Linked DNA regions of Saccharomyces cerevisiae S288C. Changing the gene in region 4 together with the main gene of any one other region gives a genetic interaction. Each region holds a gene or a part of one and is shown on either strand. Other genes may lie near its edges.

The links.
Region 1: mutations in FDH1 (region 4) and ICL1 together harm fitness less than expected from each alone (positive genetic interaction), as found in Saccharomyces cerevisiae (one large-scale study listed by BioGRID).
Region 2: mutations in FDH1 (region 4) and INP51 together harm fitness more than expected from each alone (negative genetic interaction), as found in Saccharomyces cerevisiae (one large-scale study listed by BioGRID).
Region 3: mutations in FDH1 (region 4) and NTH2 together harm fitness more than expected from each alone (negative genetic interaction), as found in Saccharomyces cerevisiae (one large-scale study listed by BioGRID).

The regions. Positions count from the first base shown.
Region 1 is NC_001137.3:284,717-288,618, forward strand, and holds ICL1 (isocitrate lyase 1), read right to left. Parts: upstream 2,199-3,902; coding exon 525-2,198; downstream 1-524. UniProt on the Saccharomyces cerevisiae protein: Catalyzes the formation of succinate and glyoxylate from isocitrate, a key step of the glyoxylate cycle, which operates as an anaplerotic route for replenishing the tricarboxylic acid cycle.
Region 2 is NC_001141.2:350,047-355,165, forward strand, and holds INP51 (phosphoinositide 5-phosphatase INP51), read right to left. Parts: upstream 3,386-5,119; coding exon 545-3,385; downstream 1-544. Other genes in the region: CMI7 (Cmi7p), read left to right, coding at 255-464; YIL001W (uncharacterized protein), read left to right, coding at 3,894-5,119. UniProt on the Saccharomyces cerevisiae protein: Controls the cellular levels and subcellular distribution of phosphatidylinositol 4,5-bisphosphate (PtdIns(4,5)P2).
Region 3 is NC_001134.8:238,408-243,276, forward strand, and holds NTH2 (alpha,alpha-trehalase NTH2), read right to left. Parts: upstream 2,877-4,869; coding exon 534-2,876; downstream 1-533. Other genes in the region: RER2 (ditrans,polycis-polyprenyl diphosphate synthase), read right to left, coding at 3,301-4,161; COQ1 (trans-hexaprenyltranstransferase), read left to right, coding at 4,402-4,869.
Region 4 is NC_001147.6:1,071,236-1,074,726, forward strand, and holds FDH1 (formate dehydrogenase (NAD+)), read right to left. Parts: upstream 1,689-3,491; coding exon 558-1,688; downstream 1-557. Other genes in the region: YOR389W (uncharacterized protein), read left to right, coding at 2,978-3,491. UniProt on the Saccharomyces cerevisiae protein: Catalyzes the NAD(+)-dependent oxidation of formate to carbon dioxide. Formate oxidation is the final step in the methanol oxidation pathway in methylotrophic microorganisms.

The DNA.
Region 1 (3,902 bases), on a different chromosome or scaffold from region 4:
CTTGAGAAGAGCGGCAAAAATTGCCGAACAGGTGGAATTTCTCGACCAAAGGTGGGGTAAATATCGGTTACCCGTTTGCGAGTTCCTTTACAGTCTCAATGATTTCCAAGATGACTAAGGGAATATTTTCCATGGTGCCTTTTGCCTCGCGTACACTCACGGCACTAATGGGCGATACGATACTATGATTGTGTTCGGGATTAGTTCGATTCAATCATTCGCGCACGAGGCATGGACAGAAATGGCACTGATTTTAGTCACCGAGTCAACAAAAATGAGGCGACTCGATCAAAGATGTTTATTGACTCGTTTTTGCAACTAGAGAAAGGCATTCTTGCACGGAGAGAATGTTGACTTTAGTTGGAGTACCATTAGAGAGATGCCATTAGAGAACATTGTACTGCAGTAACGATGAGTTTAAGTTTTTAAGTACGCATGTTTATATATGAAAAAAATATACATTGAGATTACGAATATATATACTTGTCAGGAAATGCCGGCAGTTCTAATGGTTAATCCTTGTCCTATTTCTTTACGCCATTTTCTTTGAATTGATCTTCTGTGACACCGGTTCCCATAGCAGCTGTTGCGCTAACACCACCTTGAGCTAACTTCAATAACCCATCGATGTACTCCGCACCAGACCATTTTTGATGTTTCAACACATCAACACCATCGTCCATTTCCCTCTGCTGAACATTCTGGGCATAAGCTTTCATCCCATCCTTGGCAAAGTCACGAGAGAAGTTATGGACAGCTAAAGCGTTAGTGTGTAAACCGGCCAATGTGATAAATTGCCAGATGTAACCTAGATCACCCAGCCTTTGGATGAAGGTGTGTTGTTCATCAACGGACATGGCTTTTGGCCAGTTAAAGGATGGAGACAAGTTGTAAGCTAGCCATTGGTCAGGGAATTTCTCTTTAACACCTTCTGCAAACTCCTTGGCCTGTTGGAAGTCTGGGTAGTTAGATTCCATCCATACCAAATCAGCATATGGAGCAAATGCACGGGCCCTCATGATAGAACATTGCGTCCCACCTCTGTAACGGTACAACCCTTCCCTTACGCGTGGTAGCTCCCAGTCGAAGAAAATTTCGTGGCCAAGAATTTCTTTAGCGAGCTTCTTGGCTTCTCTGTGGGATGTTTCAGTCAATGGACCCACTTTAGAGGTGAATTTCTTAATCAATTCTTGCTTATTTGACAGGGCTGATCTTTCAATTTCATCAATGACGGCTTCATGGAATAACTTGAGTCCAGCGTCTCTACACCATTTTTGTTCAATGTCAGCTAGTTCTTGTCCTGATGCACCACTCATGATGGCATCATTTAAAACTTCGGCAAATGGCTCGATATTTGGATTGGTGGCACCGACAATGAAATAATGATCTCTGGTATCGATGGTTGAGCTAATCAAAGTGGCTGCTTCTGAATCAGTCCTAGCAACGACAATTAAGTCAGAATGCATGATATCAGCACACATTCTAATAGTCACCAATCTGTTAACATGTTCCTGAACGGGTATAACACATCTTCCTGCCATATGCCCACATTTCTTATTTGTAGATGTCTGGTCTTCCATGTGGATCCCAGCAGCACCACGCTCAATGAACATCTTGGTCAATTTGAAGACTGCGGTTAAACCGCCGTGGCCTGCGTCTGCATCAGCGACAATTGGTGTTAGGTAGTCAATTGGGGCACCCATCTCATCGAGTTCTTCCTGAGATTTAGCCTTTGACCGTGCCTCTAGTTGTTTTCTGTCGTGAAACAATTGGGCCTTGAACAAATGTTCCACTTTGTTTGGAACGGTGTCCATTGGATAATCAGCTAAGTCTGGACCAGGTTCATTTGAGGTGGAAGCAGTTGATGAACACTGCCAACCAGAAATATAGATTGTGTCTAAGTATTTTGCCATTTGAGAAATCTGGACAGGATCTAGGGCACCGAAAGTTTTAGAGACTGTACCCTCATTGTGATGCTTCTCTAATACCTTGAATAATTTTCTGGCCATGACCGAAGATGGGTATTCGATTGGTGGGAATGTCCCGCGTCTAACAGCAATATCTCTGGCTGAATAATTTCTCTTAGTCTTACTCCAACGTGAGTCAGACCACCATTTCTCAATTTCGGCAGCATCTGCATCTAGTTTTGCTTGTAAAGCTGCAAAATCGTTCTTCGTATTTCCAACGGGGATAGGCATTTTTCGTTGACTTTTTGTTATGTTATGCTAAGAGTTTTCTCTCAATTGTTAGGTATTTGGGTGTGAAAAGAAAAAAAGGATAAGATGAAATTAGCAAGCCAAGACAAATAATAAGAATTTTGCCAGTGAAGCAGCTCCTTTATATAATAAAGAAACGTTTTGTGAATTCCGATGTGCCTGGTTAAGGGCGGACTTTGGACTGACTTATGCTTTTCTCTTTTGCACCAATATTGAGTCACATACTGGGATGCTAGTCCGGACTATGGATATTTTCTTCTGTAAAGGGTAGTGAAAGATGACGTTGAGTGTTAATTTTGTGGTGATTGGCTTCAGTTTTGATTGTTTCGGATGAAATGAAAAAGTGACGAAGTCAGATAAGTGATCGCTCGGATGAATGGAAACCTGGGGCAAAAGGGAACAGTTTTTCTCATCGGATGACGAGTAGCAAAACCCGACCGCCCAAAGCATCCGGGTTACGAGATATTTACTTTTCAATAAATAGATTCAATTATTATTATTTTCTCGAGACATATTACTGACACAAGAAATTTCCTATGGGAGCTTGATTTAGTTTTTCCTTCTAACATTGTCATTTTAACTGTGTTGCCTTCCCTTGCTCGCAACTATGCTACGCTATATTGTACTCTTGAATTTTATTTATGTTTTGTTCCCAGCGGGCATCTTTCAATAAAATGAACTCAAGAAGAAGTAAATAATAACAAGCTATAATGGGTGGCCATTTGTGATCAAATTTGGAGTGAAACACGTATGATTATGTTTGAACTCTCTTTCTTTGATACGAAACCTCAAGCGACGTAGGTGATGGATATATTCACAAGATAACAAAGGCCGTGTTACAACATTAGATATGTAAACAACGTGCTAGAAGTTCTCCTCGAAGATCTCGAAATCTACAAAAGGGAATCGATATTTTATACATAATCCTATTATTATTTTTTCTTCCATTTTATATGCTCACTCATTATCCTTTACATTTCCAAAATCATGCATTTCAGCTTCCATTAAATTTTGATGGCTGTCTCTTAATTTTGTTATCTTTCTTTATGTCATCCTCTTACAGAGTATATGGTAATATACTAGTAATATGATTAATAGTCGATAAGTGAGTGTGAATTTTTATTCCGAAAAATATATGACGATGATCACACTATATTTTCTAGAAATAACTTAAACCATAGTGAATAAGAATCTGTAGTGCTCCTTGAGAACTAATGAAATTGCGCTAAAAACAAACCTAGTTAACATAATGTTTAGGCCAGGAAGAATCTAAATACAAACCTTATCAGTCCCAGCGTACGCGTCATTTACATTTGCGTATTGAAAATGAAAAAAAAATAATTCATTTGAAGCACTACTATTACAAAATTTATTCCAGCCCAACATTCAGTTTGGAAGCATCAAACGGCCTTCGACCATATGAAGATATTCCAGTAAATATGGTCTCCAAGCAGTTCAACTACTTTTCATGAATGTAGCATTTTCAAGGCACCTCTAACAATAAAAAAAACGACACCAGCAGGATTTGAACCAGCGCGGGCAGAGCCCAACAGATTTCAAGTCTGTCGCCTTAACCACTCGGCCATAGTGCCTATCATTATGAATTTCCCAAAAAAGAACCACTATCAGAGACATATAAAAATAAGAACACATCCACCGATATCTGTTACAATGAAACCCTAAAAT
Region 2 (5,119 bases), on a different chromosome or scaffold from region 4:
GTGTGTGTTTATATACACTTATATTTTGATCCTTGGGCCTAGAAATAAATTTCGATTCCTATTTCGATTCCTATATCGAAAGGTGGTTAGAAGCTAACCGGCAACTGCAGCATGTTCTTCAAGTGGTGATACAAATTTAAAAGGCCGGGTAAATATTGACAAAGAAATAATATTTAATCACACAATTTTGAGAAAGAGCAACTGAATCAATTACTCTAGAGAAATCGCAGAACACTTCACTCGTCGTCAATAATATGACTCGTGATACACCCGAAGATGTCAGTACTGCAGGCGCAAAGGATATTTTAGATGTTTTGAACCTACTAAAAGGAGGAGAAGAGAAAATCTCGGAAGTCGAACTTAAGTTGGATGAAATGGAAAAGAAAATGGACTCTCTGTTAGTTCAGTTAGAAGATCTACACAGGGACAACAATGATTTGGCAAAAAGTTCCAGCCAAAAATAGAGAGTACGCTCACAGCCGCATAGGGAAGGAACGCTAAATAAATATATTTATATATAATCTTTTCACTAATGATCATTTACTTACCTTTCTATAAAAAGTGGCTCATCTTCGTTCTCAACGAATGGATTGGGATCTCTTTTAGGATTAATCATGTAAACGGCCGGGTCTACGTCAAGAACTACTTTAACTTGCTTCCCACTTCCAATCCACCATTTTTTTAAATCCGAACTAGGTGGTGGTAACTTTCTACCTCTTTTGGGCTCGGGAATTGGTGTCGGAGAATGCGTAGGGCCAGCTATCGAATCACTGCCCTCAAAACTTTCGATAACAAATGCATCATCACTCAAAACTGCAATTTTCTCATCATCATCCAATCCCTCTAGCCTTTCCATAATCTTCTCGTAGATTTGCGTACCCAAAGTAGTCTTTTTTTGTTCATCCACTACAGTCACTCTAGCCCTAAATATGGCATATACGGGCCGATGATCGGAAAATAGTATATCTTCACAGCATTTATATTCTAACTGTTCTAGTACTTCTCCCCTACTTAAAATCCTATCAGTCCATGCTGGTATTCTCATTTTTTCGCTCGTGTCGTAGTTTTTAGTTCCTGGGTCGAATTTATAGGTAGGTGGGAAATCAATCGCCATTTCATGGAAATATGGAAAAGACTCACCTGCGATCATTTGTTGATTAAGTTGATCCTTTTCAAATAGGCTGGCATATTCTTTAGAAACAATTTTTCGTCTAACATCTTCGTTTGACATCAATATTCTGTAATTGAAATCGCCCATCCAAATAATTGCATCGTGATCCTTTATTCGTAATCCTTTAGAAAATCGTATGCTTTTCGCAATCGTCTTATAATCATTATGCCTTTGTTCAACATTTTCTAAGCCTGCCGCTAAATGAGATACTAGTACGCAAAATCTTGTAGCTGAGTATTTAAAACTAACCGCGACAGCTCCTTTATTAGAAGCCATTCCTCCAAACCCGGTTTTTTTAACATCCCCCTCAATATGCTTTACCTTGGAATATTCCGTTTCATTCATGAATAATAATAGTAAAATACCACCCAACTGTGTACTCCATAAACGGATATATTTTTTTTTGCGTCCGGGCCCATTTAATAGTGTTAATATCTTCTTCTCCCAAAATTGTCGGACATATGGATCGGTAGCAAGCATATGACCTGGGGTAAGTTCTACCACTTCTTCTAATCCGATAACATAAAGATCAGCCATTTCATCCTCCTTGGACATTGATTTTGGAAATATCCAATCTTTTATATCATCTTTTGGAATTTTACCACTTATATTAAATGTACCTGCAAAAATTGAGATGTCTTTCTCAAACGTATATTTTGACCTTAATTGCTTTAAATACTGAGAGATGTAGATATGGAGCGGGTCGTATAATCTAACTCGGGAACCAAATAACTTCGAATAAACCTTTGTATATTTACCAGAATTCTTCGTGTGCTTAGTATACGTTCGATCAAGCCAGTAATAGTTTTCTGACCATAGCTTATCATGTGCGTCCAAGAATGGGGAAGTCAATTCAAATACATCAATTTCATTTGTGGTTAATTCAAGTACCTCCTTGCTCACTAACCTTTCAACTGTGTTAGGTTTTTCAATTGAATCAAATGCGCTTATTCTTAATACCCCCGTTTGTTTTGCAAAGTAGATGCCCCTAGAGATATCATAGGCAAACGCTCCAAACTCGTAAATATCCTGTTTTAATAAATAAAGTAATTTGTGGGGAGACTTTGTCAGAACGCTTGAGCTGTATTCTATATTTGTTATTTTTATTCCCTTTGATTCAGCACAATCCTTGTACGTCAGTGCTAACTTTTCTTGTGATTCGCTTTTAGGTTTTATGATATTAACGATACTCACAACACCATACTTTGAGGTTAAATTATCAAAATGCCTGTCAAAAGCTCCCTGAGCTTCAATAGAATCTTTTGTTACCTTAATTTTTTTTCCATACAACAGTTGACTTTCTACAGATTCCCAAAAAAGAGGAATGCTTCCGTTCACTTGAGTATAAGAAAAAATAAACTTTTCTGTGGTTACTACAATTTCTGTCTCAACAAATAGCGACACTCTCCCATCTTCACTAATACCCTCCAATTCTAGCGTATCCTGCTTGCTCTCAGTCGAAATTCTGGAAATAATGGTTATAGAGGCTGTATTTGGGCCGTCTTCTATTAATGCTGTCTTGCAATAACCCCGAATTACAAATGTTAAGAACCCTGCGTTGGCAAAAAGTTGTTTCTCCTCATTTGAAATCTTGCTTCTCCAGTTGATTACCTCACTTGCTAAGTTAGCATTCCAAATAAATGATAAATCTTGATTATCTACGGTATATTCTAAGTTATGTGATAAACCATGGTTTTTCACGATATTAGAGATGTCGAAATCTCTAGAATAGTAGAATGTTCCATCACTAAACAGTTTTTTCAGGGGGCCGCAAGGATGCTCATGAATCAATTTATCATAGTTTTGCTCTGATCTCTCGCAGAGGAGGTAGTCGAAAACATCATTTTCTAAGCTGTAAAAGTCAACATCCAATACTTTATAAATGCTCTCCGAAGGCCTAACTTGATGATCTATCAGTTTCCATCGAGGAAACCCAACATTCTGAACACCAGATATGACGGCAACATATATATCACCATTAAGACAAACGAGCCCTAATAATCCATTAAATATGCAACTTTTGACTTCGAGATAGTTACTATCACTTGAAAGATCTGTGTCAGGGTAGGACTTGATTGTTACGCTAGGAGTTTTACTTAATTGACGCTGCTGAGAACTGGCACCTGGTATGCTGCGCAAACGCTGGAAGGATAAACAGTAGTTGTTGGAAGATATTACAATCGACCGTGATCTTCTACCGATGAAGAGTCTCATTGTAGTGAAATGTGCTTCGAATTCATACGATTAACACAACTTTATCAATATTTGCTGACTTAATCCTAGAATGAAATAGAAAGGCTATTTGATTTGTGTAGATATTTGTTCCAACTTTCCGGTTTACAAATGTTTAACAAAGGGATTCGTTTAGCAATTAGGCAATGCTAAACAAGAAGGAAAACAGGAAACCCTGAAGGAGATAAAACGACGTCAAGAATAGAAGATAAAAAAAAAGGGACATTAACAGGTTATATTGAAACTCAATTCCTGCCTAACCTTCTAAATTGAGAATTTAGAAACGGTATCGCTTATTCTGAATTCCTAAAACACCCATCCCTTTTAAGTAAAATAATAATACGTGGACTACGTAGATGTGGACACTCAATTTACTTACTATTCTCTATGGTCATATTGACAATAAACAAAAATACAAGAAAAAAAAAACTACAGGAAAGATTTGTCATAAATTGTACACTACCACTTGAAAACGACCTTTGGCATATTTATGGCAGATAAATTAATGGACAAAAATTTTGAAGAACTGTGCTATTCATGCCGCACTGGTGATATGGACAATGTTGATAGATTGATTTCCACGGGAGTAAATGTGAATAGTGTTGACAAGTTTGACAATTCGCCACTTTTTCTGGCTAGCCTTTGCGGGCATGAAGCAGTCGTGAAACTTCTTCTACAGAGAGGAGCCGTCTGTGATAGAGACAGATATGAAGGAGCTCGATGTATTTATGGAGCATTGACCGATACTATCAGAGATACCCTTTTAAGTTATGATATATCCAAGGCTGTAGATGTCAAGCAACCCTTTGCTACTCATATCTCATCGATGTATAATGACGAAGGCTTCCTTAAAAGAGATATCACATTCAGAGTTTCGAATGGAAAACTGTTCACAGCGCATAAGTTCTTATTATGTGCAAGGAGCGAAATTCTAGCAGAAAAAATGGTGAATGAGTGGGCAAAGCATGAAATTGTTTCTCTTGAAGTGCGCCCAGATATATTTGACATATTTTTGAAATTTCTTTACTTAATTCCGATCCTGCACCAAATTGAACCGGGACAATATGAAGAACTTATAGAGCTATCTAGTAAATTTGATATTGAGTTATTGCCCGAATTTTTAGACAAAGCAAGGCATACCGCCGATCCTACGGAAAAGTCGAGGTTAATGTCAGATTACCAATATAAGTTTACCGAGGTTGCAAGAAGTCAACTTTTAATATTTGTGAACAATTGTATCTTTAGATCTACTGTTGATCTTGCTAATAGTGAACGACGAGTTTTTTCCTTGATGAACTGTCCAGCTTATCCGGATGTTCAACTTATGGTAAAAAACCGAAATGGAGCCATTCGAATATACCCTTGTCACCTGGCTGTTTTGAGCCGCGCAGAATATTTCAAGGTGATGTTCACAAACAACTTCAAGGAGAAAGTTACATATATCAAAGCCAAGCACGTTACAGGAAAGTATAATAGTATCATTCCACAGCTGACATTACCCAATTGTGAGTTTGAGGTTGCCGAAATTATTCTCCGCTACTTATATGCAGATAATACAGACATTCCTTGGATGTATGCCGTCGATGTTTTGTTACTTGCCGATATACTTTTAGAAGACCGCTTAAAAACTATCGCTTCTACAATTATAACACAATCAAAAGAGTTTATTCAGCAATACAATGTTTTTGACGTACTCTATTTATCATGGGAAATAGG
Region 3 (4,869 bases), on a different chromosome or scaffold from region 4:
GATATACAGATCCTATATTCTTCATGTATGTAATAGATTCCCATACCTTCTTCGCATTTAAGACACTAATAGAAATGAAAGCTTTCTATTAGTCATTCTTCCTATGCACTAGACCACGCAAAGGTGAACCGGCTTGGTACGAGAATTCTATCACACGGTAATGATAGTGTTCCCGATGTCAAGCAGTCTTATACAGTACTACCCAAGAGCTTAAGAATAAGCAAGAAGATCTGGCAAGCTACAAGGTACTCATAACGATCTTCAAAGCGTAAGTTATGATCTTATGAAAATCAGACTTTTTTGTCTCAACAAACTCCTAGTTTGAAGATGTTACTGAAATGCCCTTCAAACACTTTTACTTGAAAATCATCGATTACTATTCTAACCTTCACAAATGAGCCTTTACACAACTTGATTAATAATAATATTTGACCTTACTCTAAATCGTCTCAAATATTACTGAGGCACAATCTCATGGTTATTGATAGAAAGAAGAATATAACATATATCTTATTTACATATGTTCGTCAATATTATAGGTAATACAATTTTTTCTCAGAGGGTTTCAAACTATTGAAAAATGGCAATGGTGGACTACAAGCAGCGAGAGCCCTTCTTGCATGATTATTCATATATTTCAATCCGAGCAAATAACTTGTGTTCACCCAACCAAAGCCTTCTGTAGCGACGCCCTTAAAATCAGCACCTTGATTACCATATTCCGCATCAACGCGATGCGGATCAGTCCCTCTTGTCACATCATATTTTTCTACCACCATTCCGTTATAATCAACAAATGATTTTGTAATCATGTACAGCCACCTATAAGCCAATCTTGTAGCTACTTGTTGATAACCATATGCAGATAAACCTTTCCAGGCTAATATTTGGTGCGGCGCCCAACCAAAAGGATAATCCCATTGCCTGATCGGTCTATCAATAGAAATAGGACCTCTTGATTTTTCTGTGCATGCAACTAGTCCGCCGAGCATTTCTAACTGAGGAAGAGCTTTTTCTACTGTGATTTTTGCTTGCTCTTCAGTTGCAAGACCAGCCCACAAACTCCAAAAAGTCGTTGCAGACTCATAAGACGTTCTGCATTTCAGTTTCGTGTTATAATAGAAGAAAAACCCTGAATCTTCGTCCCACATATACTTATTAATCCTTGTTTTCCTCAGTTCAGCTAGCTCCTCCCAGTGTTCAGAATCGGTTACCGTTCCATCATTCTCATCTTTATATTCATTACCAAAATACTCCTTAATGACGAAAGCAATATCTTTCTCATATTTATAGAGCAAGGAGTTTAGATCAATTGTCGCTAAATATGCACATACACCTTCAAACCTATAAGTCGTGTCATGTCCTGACTCTCTCACGGCACGATCATGTAAAAAAAATGCATCCAGTTTGGGTTCTTTAATCATGCCTTCGTTATAAAGGTACCTAAGCTTTTCCAGAGTAACATTGTACTTTTCAGCATACGGTAATAATATAGTATCAAAATGATCTGGTTCAGTTTCCGGAGGGATACCAATACCATCAGAATGATAACAAGACAGCCCTGTCAGAGAATCTAACCTAGGGCTCGACATCCACACCTCTTTATATTCTTTAATAGCAGCTCTGAACGCGCGTTTTAACAACTGAATAGCGTTTGGATTATTCTTACCTCCTATCTTTTCAAATACGAGCAGAGCCATATCGGTTAGGAATGGTGGCTGAGATCTGCAAAGATAATAACTCCTATTAGCATTCAAAATTTTACTATAGTGATCAATTTCGAATATAAAATGCTCCACCATACCTCTTGCAACATCAACCTTATTACTTTCTATGAGTCCCAGTGCCATTAAATATGAATCCCAGCCATACAATTCATTGAATCTACCGCCAGGTACCGCATAAGGATAACCAACTAGGGACCTTTCACCAGTAGATGGATTAACGTGTTCTTCCATAGCCAGGGCTAACAAACCCGGTGTATCATTTAATGATTTAACATACTCTGCTGTAATATCTTTTGGTAAGTACTCCACTTCAAGTTTTAAGGACGGGTTCATTTGAGATGCCTGAATGTAAAATTCGTACTGCTCTGGGCAGTTATATGGAACATAAATTCTTGGATTTTTAGCGCCTGGCGTATCTATTTTTGAGTCTCTAGCAATTTCTGCAATATTATAAAGATCAACTCTTCTCGTTAAACTCGTCCAAAATTGAGTCGTTATCAATCTTGATAATCTATCAACAGGGTTTTCATTTATACGCGCCTCATCCAAAAATATTTGGTGTCGTCCGAAACTTTTTGCAATGGTTAGTTCCTGCAACAAGTTAGAAAGCATATATGTTCCCCTAACATTTACATGTTTGAAACCGTTGGAATTGGCCGTCCCGACTTTAATAACTTTGGGCCCAGTGTCTTCTATGGTAATTTGGTGATTCTTGTCTGTGTCCTCACTAGCGAGCAGCTCATCTAAAGCGAGATCCACATTATCAATATAAAATCTACGGTTACCTTGGCTGCTGAGGAAGCTGTCGTCTTCAGAACCCCTCCTTTTCAGGGTATAATCCTTCATTCCGTTTTTGAAGTCAGAAACTTTATTGAAAACACTCATAGTTCTGGTTCTATTTAGTCTATGAATTTTTGACTGTTTTCTTGGATCTGTTATTGGTCCATAATAGACCTCTGCGTTGGAAAACGGGTCAAAATACTCATGCATAGAGGACAACCGCCGGTGATGTCTTCTACCACCTTGTTGCCCCTCTTCTTTCAACGGCCGCTGCTCTGAACCACTTGAAAGTGGCTTTATGTTATCTTCACCATCATTACCTTCGGATGGAGGATTTATTTCCGTTACTTTTGGTAAAAAATCTACCATTATTTGAGTATATGCAGGTCTCCTTATATACCAAATGTCTGATCCGAACCTGCGTCAAATATATTTGCAAAGGAAAAATATAAATAAATAAATAAAATTGAGAAATAAAGAATATTAGTTTTAATGGAAAACAGTTCCTACAAGCGCTATAACATATGAAATATACATTAGTCGAATATTAACTTTGGGAGGTAATTACAATTCCTATCCGCTTTATATAATTTAGTGGAACTGGCACGCCGCTCGGAAAAATTGGACTTCAAATTACCCCGCGCGGAGATTTGCATTATAAACTCTATAAAGATGCGTGAATTTCTACTCATTTATTACTAATTATTTGAATGTTCTTTTGCGAACTCATTTATCTTGCTCATTACTCTATAAATATCTATGCCATGTGGTAGGAAAAAAATGCAGACCTTTCTTAATTCAACTTTTTTTCTTTCAAATCGATGGGGTCCCCATTGGTTTCCTCGTCATAATCACCTTCCTCTAATCTGTACTCTTTGTTTAAAAAGGATTTGTGAAACGAAAATTTTAATAAAATCCATGCCATCCGTATAGGTCCAAACTCTGGCCATAAACAATCCAGCAATTCGATGCGTACGCCCTTACTCGATGCCTGCCATATCAAAAAGTCACTTAATCTGGAAACGCCACTTGTCCTAATCAATAAATCTAAAGGGGGTACCCCCGCCGTGTAGAGATGCGATTCTAACGTGCTTTCGTCTATAGCGGCGCCCTTCTTATGTTGAACAATTGTTTCTTTCATGGCATGCAAGATTTCTTCCCTGCCTGTATATGGAAAGCAGATATTTAACGTGGCCCTTTTGTTGTTCTTTGTAGTTTCCACAGCAACCCGAACATCTTCTAATAGAGACTTATCCAACAAAGAGAGATCGCCGATAATTTTAATGCGTACCCCATACTTACAGGCCAGCTCTCCACGTTCTGTGATTTGTCGTATCCTTTCGCGCGCTAAAGTCATCAGTGATTCAACTTCCCGTGAGCTCCTCTTGAAATTTTCAATTGAAAAGGCAAACACGGTAGCCGTATCGACTCCTGCTTCATAACACAGTTCTAAGATTCTACTCATACTAACAAATCCTGCCTCGTGGCCCTCCTTTACGTCCATCTCTTTCTTTCTAGCGAATCTCCTGTTCCCATCCATGATGAACCCAACATGTCTAGGTACACAGTTAGATGCACGCAATGTGCGCGAAAAGATGTTTTTTGTCCACTTTAACACAAATGAATGACCAGGTATACCACTATCCGTTTCCATACCGTCTTTTACCTGTGTTTACCCTATTTTTACTGCTTAAGTTCTATTGAAACCTGTCATTATTACGAAAATTTTTTTTTTTTTCATTCTAAGCATTTTGTTGGCATCTTCGGAAAAAGCCCGAGCGAGGGTAACAGGGTTAGGGGATTAGAAGATTAAAGTAAGACACATTATAATCTATAGAGATTTTCTACAACACAAGAAGTGTGCCATTCAGTCCGAATTGAGTACAGTGGGACGATGTTTCAAAGGTCTGGCGCTGCTCATCACATCAAATTGATTTCATCTCGAAGATGCCGCTTTAAATCCTCCTTTGCAGTTGCTTTAAACGCTGCCAGTAAGTTGGTAACTCCCAAGATTCTTTGGAATAATCCCATATCATTAGTCTCGAAGGAGATGAACACATTGGCCAAAAATATAGTTGCCCTCATCGGGTCTGGCCATCCGGTGCTAAACAAGGTTACTAGTTACTATTTTGAAACAGAAGGCAAAAAAGTACGTCCCTTGTTAGTGTTGTTGTTGTCAAGAGCACTTTCTGAAATTCCCATGACAGAAAGAAATCACTTGAAAATTGACAAGTCGGATGTTCCTGAGGACCCAATTTACTCTAAACCTAGTCAAAATCAACTATTTCAACGTCCTGCAAGTAGCATATCCCCACTACATATTCTTCACGGTATTAAACCACTAAATCCCTTGACAAAAGGT
Region 4 (3,491 bases):
CCTGGCTTTCCTTCGAAACGTTTGAAGTAGTAAGCGATAACCTATCCCTGAACACTTAACATTATATGGCTCTTTTCTGCAGCAGATACTTTTGGAGTCTTAAAAGCACAATGTTTGAGCCGGCCAGGCGCCCATAATTAGAAATAAAAACTGTTTATAGTGTAGATGATCAGTTGTGATTATGCTACTGTTACAATTAATGAAGTTGATTGCGATCTCTCCTTTTACTGTATCTTTAGTTCTGTTATTAACGACGAGCCAAATTCCAGAAAAACAGTAAGGGAGAAAGACTTTTCCTCTTTATTTGAACCGCTACCGTGAAGATCGTTTACTGCCAAATTTTGACAGCAGATTTTGTATATAGCTACCATATCAGCAGTTTCAATTATTTGATATTAATAAACCGCTCTTCTATTTTTTAAGAGATAACGAAAATTTTGCTTTACAAAATATTTAGCTAAGGTATAAATGTGCTATGGACGAATAGTGGAGAATACGCCAAAACAAGAACAAAAGGAGACCGGAAAACTTCTGCTCACAAATACTCATAATCACTCTTATTTCTTCTGTCCATAAGCTCTGGTGGCATAAGAACCATTCTGCACAATAATATCCTGTGGACGGTAATCAAACTTTTTGGAAAAGTAACTATTTAGGATGTTCTTTACTCCCTGAGCGTACCTCTTTTGAGCATCCAGAGATGTGCCACTGATATGAACAGTCATTGCGTTTCCCACGTGGTCCTTATTGTCCATAGTCCTCCAGGGATGGTCTTTTGGTGCTGGTTGCTTATCCCAGACATCACCACCATAGCCAGCCAATTTACCAGACTTGACTGCCTCGGCAACATCTTCTGCGACACAAATAGCACCTCTAGCGGTATTCACCAAGTATGCACCATCTTTCATGTGGGAAATAAGCTTTTTATTGAATAAACCCCTTGAGTCCTTGTGCAATGGACAGTTGATGGTAACAACATCTGACTGAGCAACCATATCCTCCAATTTCTCTACTCTCTGAACAATATCACCTCTGCCATTGAAAAGCTTGCTGGCCTCGTTCAATCTATTGATTGCTTCCGCAGGTAGTTCCTGGTAGTCGTAGTACAGTAACTTCTTCGGATTAAATGCGACCAATCTTTCCAGAACCCTATATCCAATTCTACCGGCACCTACCGTTGAAATTATTTTGTCTTCCAGATCATACTCATTTTTAGCCACGCCGGCAATATCCCACTCACCATTAATTGCTTGTTGATGACCACCATTATAGTTTCTTATCAAAACCAAAATTGTGGCCATAACGTGCTCTGCGACAGAAACGACGTTAGAACCAGTAACTTCGGTGACCGTGATTTTCCGTTCATTTGCAGCTTCTAAATCGACATGGTCTGAACCGACGCCAGCGGTTACACAGAGCTTCAGGTTAGGAGCTTCTGCAATCCTGTTTCTCGAGATGTAGGCGGGGAAAAAGGGCGTAGTAATGACAATTTCAGCGTCTTTCAACTCCCTGTCTACCGTTGAGGTTGGCTCAGGGTCCTTGTCAATGGTAGTAACCAACTCGTATCCCTGTTCTTCAATGAAATTTCTGATACCAAGTTCATTTTCAATACACCCCAATAACTTTTCCTGCTCTTCAGCATGCTTACCACCTTCGTAAAGAACCAGCAAAACCTTTCCCTTCGACATATTAATTTTCAGCTGTTATTTTGATTTGATTAGCGTTGCAATACTTGTAAATTGTTCCTGCTTAAAATGAATAAAAAAAGCACAATACAAGAATATGCATATTTTACGTAAATGATATATTAACTAAACTTTCCTCAGCAAGAACTCATTAAAAAAGACTCAATTTTGTGCCCTTTTATATGTTCTTTTTTTCAATGATTGACAGTGCAGAGTGATTTCTCCAACTTTTAGTTAACAGTGAATAATCCAAGAATAGTATATTCCGCATAACATCAAAATAGTTTTATTACTGGCATGTCTTTTTCATTCGGAGTTCTAGTATCGGTGCCTTCCTAGTAAGGAAATTCCCGATTATAAGGGAAAAAAAGAAAAGGGATAAGCCGCTTGGGCTGTTGGTCCAAACAGAATGTTTTAAACCATAGCCAAACAAGTGCAAAATAGAAAAGTTGGGGTTAAAACTCTCTTTCAAGCCTATCCTCGAGTGGTGACAAAATAGGTAATTTCCGACACTTTTTTCTGCTACTAAGCACCGTGAAAAGAGAACGTTTCGAGAGTACATTTCGTACTGAATGTTGTATAAACTCTATGCTTCTAAAGATTTATCCAAACCGTTGGAGCTTTCCCTTTATTTCTACATAGGTTTCGAAAACGGTCTCCTACGGAGCTTCTCCTTTTATGGCGATCTGTTTTTAAAGTGTTTTTTAGAAAACCATTAAACTCGAGGCTTGGTTTATTTTTGCCTTCGAGATAATTTTCTCTTTTCCTAAGAAATTTATGTTACGCCAACAAAGACAACTAATAAGGTCTCAGTTCCTCTTGATCGTTAGCGATAATGCTTTTTTTTTGCACTTGCGGAGTGTAAATATCTATAGAAAAATAAACCACTTGAACAAGGGGAGCTTCAAGAACCTTTATGCATATTATCGAAATTTTTAGAGAAAGGTTCACGATTCAAGCTTTGTTTACCAATGTGATGTATTACAGTGTTCATGTCACTTGCATTGACATTGTCTTTACACCACATTAAACACAAGTTAACAACCGTTCTCCGGGCAAAGCGAGACGATGCAGTAATCAGCGGCAATGAACTACGTATGTAAAAAAAAGATCGGGGTGTAAAAATTCTATGCCAAGAAAAAAATTAAAAACAAAATAAAAAAAAAAAGAAACTTGCGGCTCTTCACTCTTAAAAGACAAAAAGTATTAGGATGATAAAAAAAATTCATAAAAAAAAAAAATTCTATGGCCTCAGTTCTCGAAGAGCCCATTTATAATTGTTTACATAAATAATGAGATTCCACCGTCAAGGTACCGCAGCCACCGTAGGCGTACTGCTCATTGTGCTGCTTGGTTTCTGTTGGAAATTATCTGAATCTTATGGCATAGTGTCAACTGCCCTACCACACAAGCAACCTGCAACCAAAATCACAGACACACCTTCTATACGATGGGATAATTACCATGAGTTTGTCAGAGACATTGATTTTGATAACAGCACGGCTATCTTTAATTCCATTCGAGCTGCTTTAAGACAGTCTCCATCGGATATACATCCTGTCGGAGTATCTTATTTTCCCGCTGTAATTCCCAAAGGAACTTTAATGTACCATGCCGGATCAAAAGTGCCAACTACCTTCGAATGGCTGGCTATGGACCACGAATTCAGCTACTCTTTCGGCTTGAGGTCACCATCCTATGGGAGAAAATCTTTGGAAAGAAGGCATGGGAGGTTCGGCAATGGCACCCATGGTGATCATCCAAAAGGGCCACCACCACCACCACCACCAGACGAAAAAGATCGAG